Linked DNA regions of Oryzias latipes. The protein of the gene in region 2 purifies or fractionates together with the protein of the main gene of each other region. This does not show direct contact. Links are inferred from orthologs where the notes say so. Each region holds a gene or a part of one and is shown on either strand. Other genes may lie near its edges. The genes, in order: bag2 and araf.

Region 1 (3,920 bases), on a different chromosome or scaffold from region 2:
TTCAAAAGGTTGAACTTCAATCTGTGATGCATCTGTATTTGTTCTTTCTTGGGCTTATTGATGAACATACATTGTGAACTGTGTGCCCTTTAGCTATGTCGGTGTAGTAAAATTTAAAGTAAAAATTGACCTTTTTACAAAAAAAATGTGTACCAGTGTACTTTTCAGGGTTGGTTACAATGCATGGATCCCTAAGAGTCATGCTTGTGCAGCTCTCCTTTGTGAGGTAAAGTGGAATTCAAAAACACCCTTCATGCTTTGGTGATGATTATTAACTACTGCAGTTGGTTTTTGCACTCTCCAGTTTTTGATGATCCATAATTTTGATGTTCTTTTCAGCGTTTTCCACATTCCTCACCAGCGTCTCCAGCCTCTGTTTGATCTTCTTCTGGTCCTCCAAAGAGCAGCTGATCACCACAACCTGGAACTTCTGATCGATGGGGACAGGCGGTGCTTCGGTCACGCAGGCGGCGTGCAGCGCCATCAGCTGCTGCCGACCGCCTTCCATGTCGACCAGCAACTTTTTTACGATTTCGTCAATCATGGATGTGGCTTTCCGCAGGGCCTCCTCCTGCTGGGGGTTTCTAATGGTGCCAACGGAGATCTCCACCGTCAGAGTCCGGCCCATCAGACGGTTCGCAGTTAAGCTCAACTCTTCCCTTTCTCCTGCAGAAGAAAAGGAAATTAGAGCTTTAATTTGTCATAAAAAATATTATTATTAACCTGTTTTTGACTCATTTCATTTATTTTGATGTATTTTATGTTAATAAATCGTCTTTTGATCTATTTCCAAAGTGTTCCGAGTGGTTTTGTAATTATAGTTATACCATTTTTAGCCCAAATAAAAAAATCCTGTGTCATTTTCTAGGACATAATTTCTGCAGAGCGGCAGGAATTCATTAGAAATCTGCCTCTAAGTTGTAGGTGGGGCCGTAGGCGTGGAGTAAGCCCACCCTTGCTTCCGGACATCTATGTGTTTAAACGCTCTCCTGCAAATTTACAGCCCTTTATAACCCCAACGTAACATTACTGATGCAACTCAAATGGCCTGCAAGAATGGAGATATCCATCCGTCCAGCTTTGAGCCGGAAGCCAACTCGGATGAGGAAAACAAAAGACCTACATGGATCTATTTGTCCGCAAGTGGATGCATCAGAATGGAGCAGAGAAGAGCAGGACGTTTGTGGTCTGCTGTATTAGCTTCTACGTCAAACCTACAAGCTTTTTCAAATGGCATTTTTGCTTTTGCAATTTGAATAAAGAAATACACCGAAATGGAAATATGAGCTGAATTTTCTTTCTATATGTCCTGCATTTTGAGAAAAACACCACAACAACATGTTAAAAACACCAAAAACACAATTTTCCTGAGTGGGTCTTTAAGATTTGATATAGGGGCAGAAATATAACAAGAATTTCATTTTTTTTGTTCCTTTCTATTCATGAAAATGTGTGGACTTATGTTGAATATGTAAATATAATATGGTACCATGAAAAGAACAGAATTTTTCTTTCTACTTATACCATGAAAAAAAGTTTATATCTTGTAGTAAACTTGCTATGTTGGACTCAGAAGTATAGTGTGTTCCTTTTAGAGGGTTTAATAGAAAGACACAGAGGTGAAATGGGACCTCTATGGGTGAGACATGTGATGCATTTTGGGTGGAGCACATTGTTCTTTTCAGTTTCTTGACCATCACGCAAAGTTTTCCTTTTATCACCACAGGATCAAAGTAGCAAAAAACAGGAATTAAGATTACTGGAAAGTTAAGCCACTCTTCACTGGTATTAAGCAGCGGATGACTTGTGCTCTTATGTAAGTTGTGGGAGAGAATTAGCAGCCTCACCCGCACAGATGTTACGCATTTCTTGACTGTTCTGGATGGATTGAATCATTTCCAGGATGCCTTCTCTTTCCTGCTCCAGGGCGGATGCTGTTTCTCTTAAAGCCTCCACCCTGACAAAAACAAACATCCGTCAAAAAAAAACAGCTTTTCTTTTTCCTTCCAATCACGTTCAGTTGTTAAAGTTACGCCACAGTGTCAAACGAACGAGAGCACCTCCAAAGAAGACGCGCATGGCGAGGCCCGTTATTGTACCTGATTTCCAGCTGATCCAGAGTTTCCAGCAGTCTTCCGGAGCGATCAGCCATGGACAGTGTCCTGCTGAACTTGCTGCAGACCGCTTCGTTCATCTTCGCCTGGATTTTCGCCTGAGCCATAATAATTAGTGCTGCAGTGCCGAGTTTCTGTAGTCCGATCAGTCAATCCAAAGAGTGAGCGGCGCTTTAAGCTCTCCGCCTGACCAGTAATTCCTCAGGCTACAGGCAGCAGCGCCCCTGGGACAACATTTCCTAACATGGGCTTCAGCTTCCTCCTCTTCCTCCTCCTCACAGAAACTTCCCGAGGAACCCAGAGAGGAGGCTCCAACCCAGACAGGGGGCTCCAACAGGGGGCTCTGAGTGAGGAGCGCTTTAGCTTTAAAATGCTTTATTTGAATTTCCATAAAACAACAGATTTTATTTTACACAAGATTTTATATCTGGGAGATAAAAGGGAACAGGGGGAGAGAAAGCTTATTTTTTCTGGAACTTTTATATAATTAGGAGGCAAAAAAACAATTGTCATAAATTGATTAGAAAATAAAAATAAACTAAAAGACGAATACATCAAGTAAATATAAAATAATAGTATTGTCCAATAACTGTTTTCTGCATGATTTGAATAATATTTTTGCAGAGTTCATACAGGTTTGTTAAACATGACATTTGCAACTCTCATCAATTTGTACAAGTGGCACTTTTTCATCATTTTAGTTAAAAGAAAAAAGCAAAGACACAATGTAACAAAACCACCTTTAGGGGGCGCTGATGAGGTGACAGGTGCTTGTTACCATTATCTCTATTGCTTCAAGCCACAAAGATAGATTCCATCTATTTTACCAACCAACAGGTCTCCAAACTGTTTTTTTTTTCTGTTCTCCGAACAAAATAATCAAATGTAACATTCAATGACCAAACGTCATGCTCCGTTATTATATCTTTATTAAAGAAAAATATTTTCACAGAGAGTACTTTTTAGGAAAACCGTTCTGTCCCTGTTATTCACTCACACTTTTACACAAAAAACCTTTTTCTTTAAGTTGAACTCATGTAATGATGTTTCATACAAACTTTTCTGTAGAAAAAATACAATTTCTGCTCATTCATTTCTGACGTCTGAGCAGCCGGTAAAGAGAATCCTCACGTCTGTAGTGAAACCAGAGAGGTGGAGGAGCGGTTGGTCTGCGGTCACGAGGTCAGCCCAGGCATCTAGCTGTGTCACCACAATCCTGTGTGTGTGTGTGTGTGTGTGTGTGTGAACACGTGACACATAGCTTCAATGTTTAGAACGTCTGACTTTTTATAAACCCTCAGCTTCTAACTAGCTTTAAAACCCACTGTCTGCCCCAAGAACTGCTGACTTTGGCTGCTAAAGGAAGTAAATCAATTCAAATAATTCATGACTTTTATTTATAACTTCTGAAAACAATGACCTTGAGTAAAAAAGGTCAACGTGACAGGTGAACAACAGGAACTACTTCATTTAGAAAGCACTTAGAACTCCACAAGACTTCTCTGAAGAGCTTCCTCCAACTCTGCGGGAAAGAAAAACAAGAAAAAAAAAAAAGTTGAAAATGACACTCCATTATAAAACAACATAAAAACAGCAGAGGCCATTTTAAAGACCCACTCCGATCATCTTTGAAGCTATTTTCAAAGTGATCTTTTAATCCCGTTTATGCTGCTTTTAGTCAAAATACAAAAAAAGCCTGTGTTGTTTTTCTTAGGACATAGTTTCTGCAGAGCTGAATTGTGGGCGGGACCACTGGCACGGAGCAACTCCGCCCCCTTTCCCTTTCGGAGCGCTAGAAGCAGGGAG
Region 2 (3,920 bases):
TTCATCTCAGTTTAATGTTTTATACTTCCAAAATAAAGCCTAAATTCAAATTTTTGTTTGCAGCGTAGTTGTATGACAGAAATAAAAATGCATTTGTATAATTTTTTAATTTATTTTTATTTCATTTTGTACTGTATTACATAATTCTATTTTGCCGTCTTGTTTTTCATCTTAAGGAAGATTTTGTTTAAAACTTGCTTCTAAATTGTCTCATTATACAATATATTTAGTTTTTAATCAAAGAGGGTCAGATTTGATGAAGTGAAAATGTGTGAGGGTCAACCATTTGACCAGGATTCTTTGAATTATTTTATGAACAATAAATGCAAATGGATATTTTATTGCAATGGGATACTTGTCAATTCAAACTAATGTTTAACAAAAATCACAATTTTTTGCTTGTCTTGTATGGTATCCCCTCTTTCTATTGACCAGCTACTCTTGAAATATCAGGCAGACACTGTTGTCTCATGTTTCGCTGAAAAAATCTGCCGGTTTCCACTTGTCCTGGAGGAAGTGGCCCTCACTGTCAACTTTGCTTTTTTATTTCCTGGTGGCATTTCAGAAATGAGCTAGAAAGTTTCACAGAGGGGTTGCACGACAGGTTAACAAAGGTTTAAAATATCAACCACAATCAAGAAATCATACACGGGTTCTAGAAAAGGCGGGGGGCCACATATTATTGATTTATGAAAGGAGCCTGCGGGCCGGTTCATATTTGAATGCGGGCTGCATTTGGCCCATGGGCCGCACTTTGGACATGCCTGATTGAAAGGGATTGTGTTTGGGAAAATGTGGGGTTGAAGTCGTGCTAAAACATACAATGTCTAACAACCTGGCAGTTTGAACCCTGGAGCAACCAATTGGTGCACAGTGCCAGTCCTGAGCTATTCATGTGCTGTGATAAATCTGGAAGGAAAAACTTGGGATGAAAGCAGAAAGTGCCTATTTATTCATAAAAATACAGATTAGAAAAAAATTGCTCTATAAATTCAATAAGATTGTATCTATGTCTCTAAAACTTAAAATGATTACACTTAAGGAATTTTAAGTATTAACAAGTTTGATCGCAATTATTTTTCTTAGATAAATGCCTGTGGGCCAGAGGGAGATTGAACTCGGGCTGAATTTAGCCCATGGGCCGGACTTTGGACACACCTGATCTAGAGCTATTTTCAAATCCGTTTCTGCATTTGGGAAAGGTTGAAGCCTTGCTATAACACACAATGAATATAACAGCCTGACAGTTGAACCCCTGAGCAAACAATTGGTAAACACAGATGAACCTACAAAGATGTACCTGCCTGCACAAGGAAACACTTTTGGGATAAAAGTGCAAAGTGACTGTTTTTCCCCTCATAAAAATCAGAATTAGAAATAAAATAAAAATTCATGGTAGGATTATATTTATGTCGCTAAAACTTGAAAACATGAGGCAATTTCAAGAATTAATTAAATTTATCGTTTTTCTATGTGTTTTTCATTGGTAAAAAAACTTTTTGAAAAAAAAACCCATCTCATGTTGCATAAGCAGATGTTGAAAATCTTGCGCGGGATTTGCACCCTCATTCTGTGCTGATGCTAACAATCACTCGTTTACGTGACAAGTCAGTTCGCAGCGCCCACCTCTCAACACCCGCAGGTGTCCTTGTCCAATCGGAGGACGCGGCTGCTGGAATCAGCCAATCAGGAGGCAGCGCCGCGGAGTTTTTCCGCTTTCCCGAACTTCTTGACAGACTTCAGATTGAGACAATTCAAGATGGCTGCTTCAGGTGAGACCGAACTTTTGGATGTGAACTGCTCCAAAACACCGTGAAGTGAGTCGGCCGGGTCTTCGCCGTGGCGCGGCGGCTTGGATGGGTGCGGGCCTGTCAGCTGAGCGAGTGTTGGTTACAGTAAGCGGCGCTAATGGGAGCTTCTGAACCGACTCCGCGGTTACACCCGCAGGTTAGCTAACATTAGCCGCCTAGCATCAGAGCGGCTCGCGGTGAAGTGTGTGCGGCAGCGGGATTATCTCCTTCCGCTCCTGGAGCTCTGCAGCTTTCAGAGCGGACACAGCAGAGTCCCCCACTCAGGTTAGATTGCTATAATGTCATAGAAGTTTCCAGGGCGTCACTTTTGACCTCCGCGAGACCCGTAACAAACTTATTTGGCTAGTTAGCTGAAGTGGTAACGGGCGCCTCGGCTTAAACATGGCCTCCCAACTGAAAGTGTGTGGCTGCTCAGAGGCTGCGCCGCTGCGGCCGAGGGGGAAACGTGAAGCGCCTGAGCGGCCGGGATGCGGCGGTACACGGTACCGTGGGTCTCTCCCAAAGGTTCTGACAGAAACCCAGCTGCGTCTTACCCGAGTTCGGCTCTGTCACTCAGACGGAGCCCTGTGCGCCTAAAAAACCCGAGTATATTCCCAGAGATTTTCTCTTGATTATGGATTCTGGTTGAACGAGTTCGGTTGGTTGATCCAAACCCACTTACATGTATATTAATATTATTGGTTTGCTTCATTTTTAGGCATTTATGTGGTTAAGGCAATATTTTCTATTTACTTCTGACACAAAGTAAACAAAACAAATGCATGTAACAAATCAGTTTAAAAAAGGTTTGGTTTCTTTATGTTAAAATAATCCACATTTTTTATTAGTTATCATAAAACCTTTTTCCTTTTTAAAACCACACCAATGAAAATGAAGATATTGGTGTTTCAGAAGAGTTTGTTGCATTTTCTTTCCTAACATTGTAGAACATATATTAAGAAAATTTAAGATTTTAATAACTTTTCTGAATATTACTTTATTCACATAATTGTGAATCAGGAGTAGACATAAAAAAGTTGGAAAAAGCTTTAAATCTGTCGTAGGAGTTAAAACTGCAAGTTCCCTGCTCCGCATCCACTTCTACACAAACAGACCCATGAACGTCTCCGTTTTTCTCGTCTGAGCCGGAATCTGGACCTAAACTGTACGACTGGATAGCTCCGATATTGCTCGCCATTTTTGTTGCACCGAAAATCCTAATTTGGGGGTATGGGGGGCTGTACGCCAGCGGGCGAGAGTTTTTTTTATTTTGGCTAAAAACGGCATAATCATGATTGAAAGACCACTGGGAACGCTTATACAAAATCAATCAGAAGGTGACTGTAGTGGGGCTTTAAATACATTTCTGCATGACTACAAAGCATTTTTTATTTCTATGAAGAAGCATTCAGACTTTAAAGTTTCATTAAATCACTGTGTACTCAAGGTTTGAACGTCCTGCACTCTTGTTACATTTTGTGTCTGTGCGTTTGCAGGTTCTGAGTGAAGGGCTTCTCTGGATCCCACCTGTGCATGCTGCAGCTCTCCTGAGGTTGCAGTTTGAGTGCTGCCCCCCCACCCCCACCCCCAGCTCCACCTGCCTCTCATCATGTCCTCCACCTCCTCTTCATACTCCTCCTCAGGGGAGACCAGTCCGGAGGATGTGCCTCGGGGCGGGGGTACCATCCGAGTCTACCTCCCCAACAAACAGAGGACAGTGGTGAGGCGACTGCGCATGCACTGGTTCTAATGTGTTTAAAAACGTATCTGTAGCACATCTATGAACATTCATTCATCCACGTGGTTCTGCAGCAGAAACGGTTCTAAAAAGAGTCAGTTTTTTCAAGTTGAAGACGTTTAGCCTCTGATCCAAGAGACTTGCCTAACTCTGAACTCCTTTTCTGTTGTCGCTTTTAACATGAAAAACTGCATTTTTCTCTGATAATAGATGTGTGAATGTTTACAGTAGAGGCTAGAAACTGAAGCTAAAGCACCAAAGAAAATTAGGCATGCCGAAGAAAGATGATGAATGCAAAAACCTGCAAAATTGGTTGGAAATATGGCTAAAATGTTGAATTCAATGTTGAATTAATCTGACAGATCTTTTTTTTTATGAATTTGTTCACTAAA

The links.
Region 1: the proteins of araf (region 2) and bag2 purify together in Homo sapiens (affinity purification with mass spectrometry; 3 studies listed by BioGRID and IntAct, with this or other methods). This does not show direct contact. The link is inferred for Oryzias latipes from reciprocal best matches to the Homo sapiens genes ARAF and BAG2.

The regions. Positions count from the first base shown.
Region 1 is NC_019873.2:24,430,373-24,434,292, reverse strand, and holds the start of bag2 (BAG family molecular chaperone regulator 2), read right to left. Parts: upstream 2,376-3,920; 5' UTR 2,222-2,375; coding exon 2,100-2,221; intron 1,958-2,099; coding exon 1,848-1,957; intron 667-1,847; coding exon 272-666; 3' UTR 1-271. Other genes in the region: E3 SUMO-protein ligase ZNF451, read right to left, coding at 3,596-3,636. UniProt on the Homo sapiens protein: Co-chaperone for HSP70 and HSC70 chaperone proteins. Acts as a nucleotide-exchange factor (NEF) promoting the release of ADP from the HSP70 and HSC70 proteins thereby triggering client/substrate protein release.
Region 2 is NC_019867.2:28,405,679-28,409,598, forward strand, and holds the start of araf (serine/threonine-protein kinase A-Raf), read left to right. Parts: upstream 1-1,656; 5' UTR 1,657-1,772; intron 1,773-1,809; exon of another isoform or gene 1,810-2,075; intron 2,076-3,286; 5' UTR 3,287-3,399; coding exon 3,400-3,510; intron 3,511-3,920. UniProt on the Homo sapiens protein: Involved in the transduction of mitogenic signals from the cell membrane to the nucleus. May also regulate the TOR signaling cascade. Phosphorylates PFKFB2.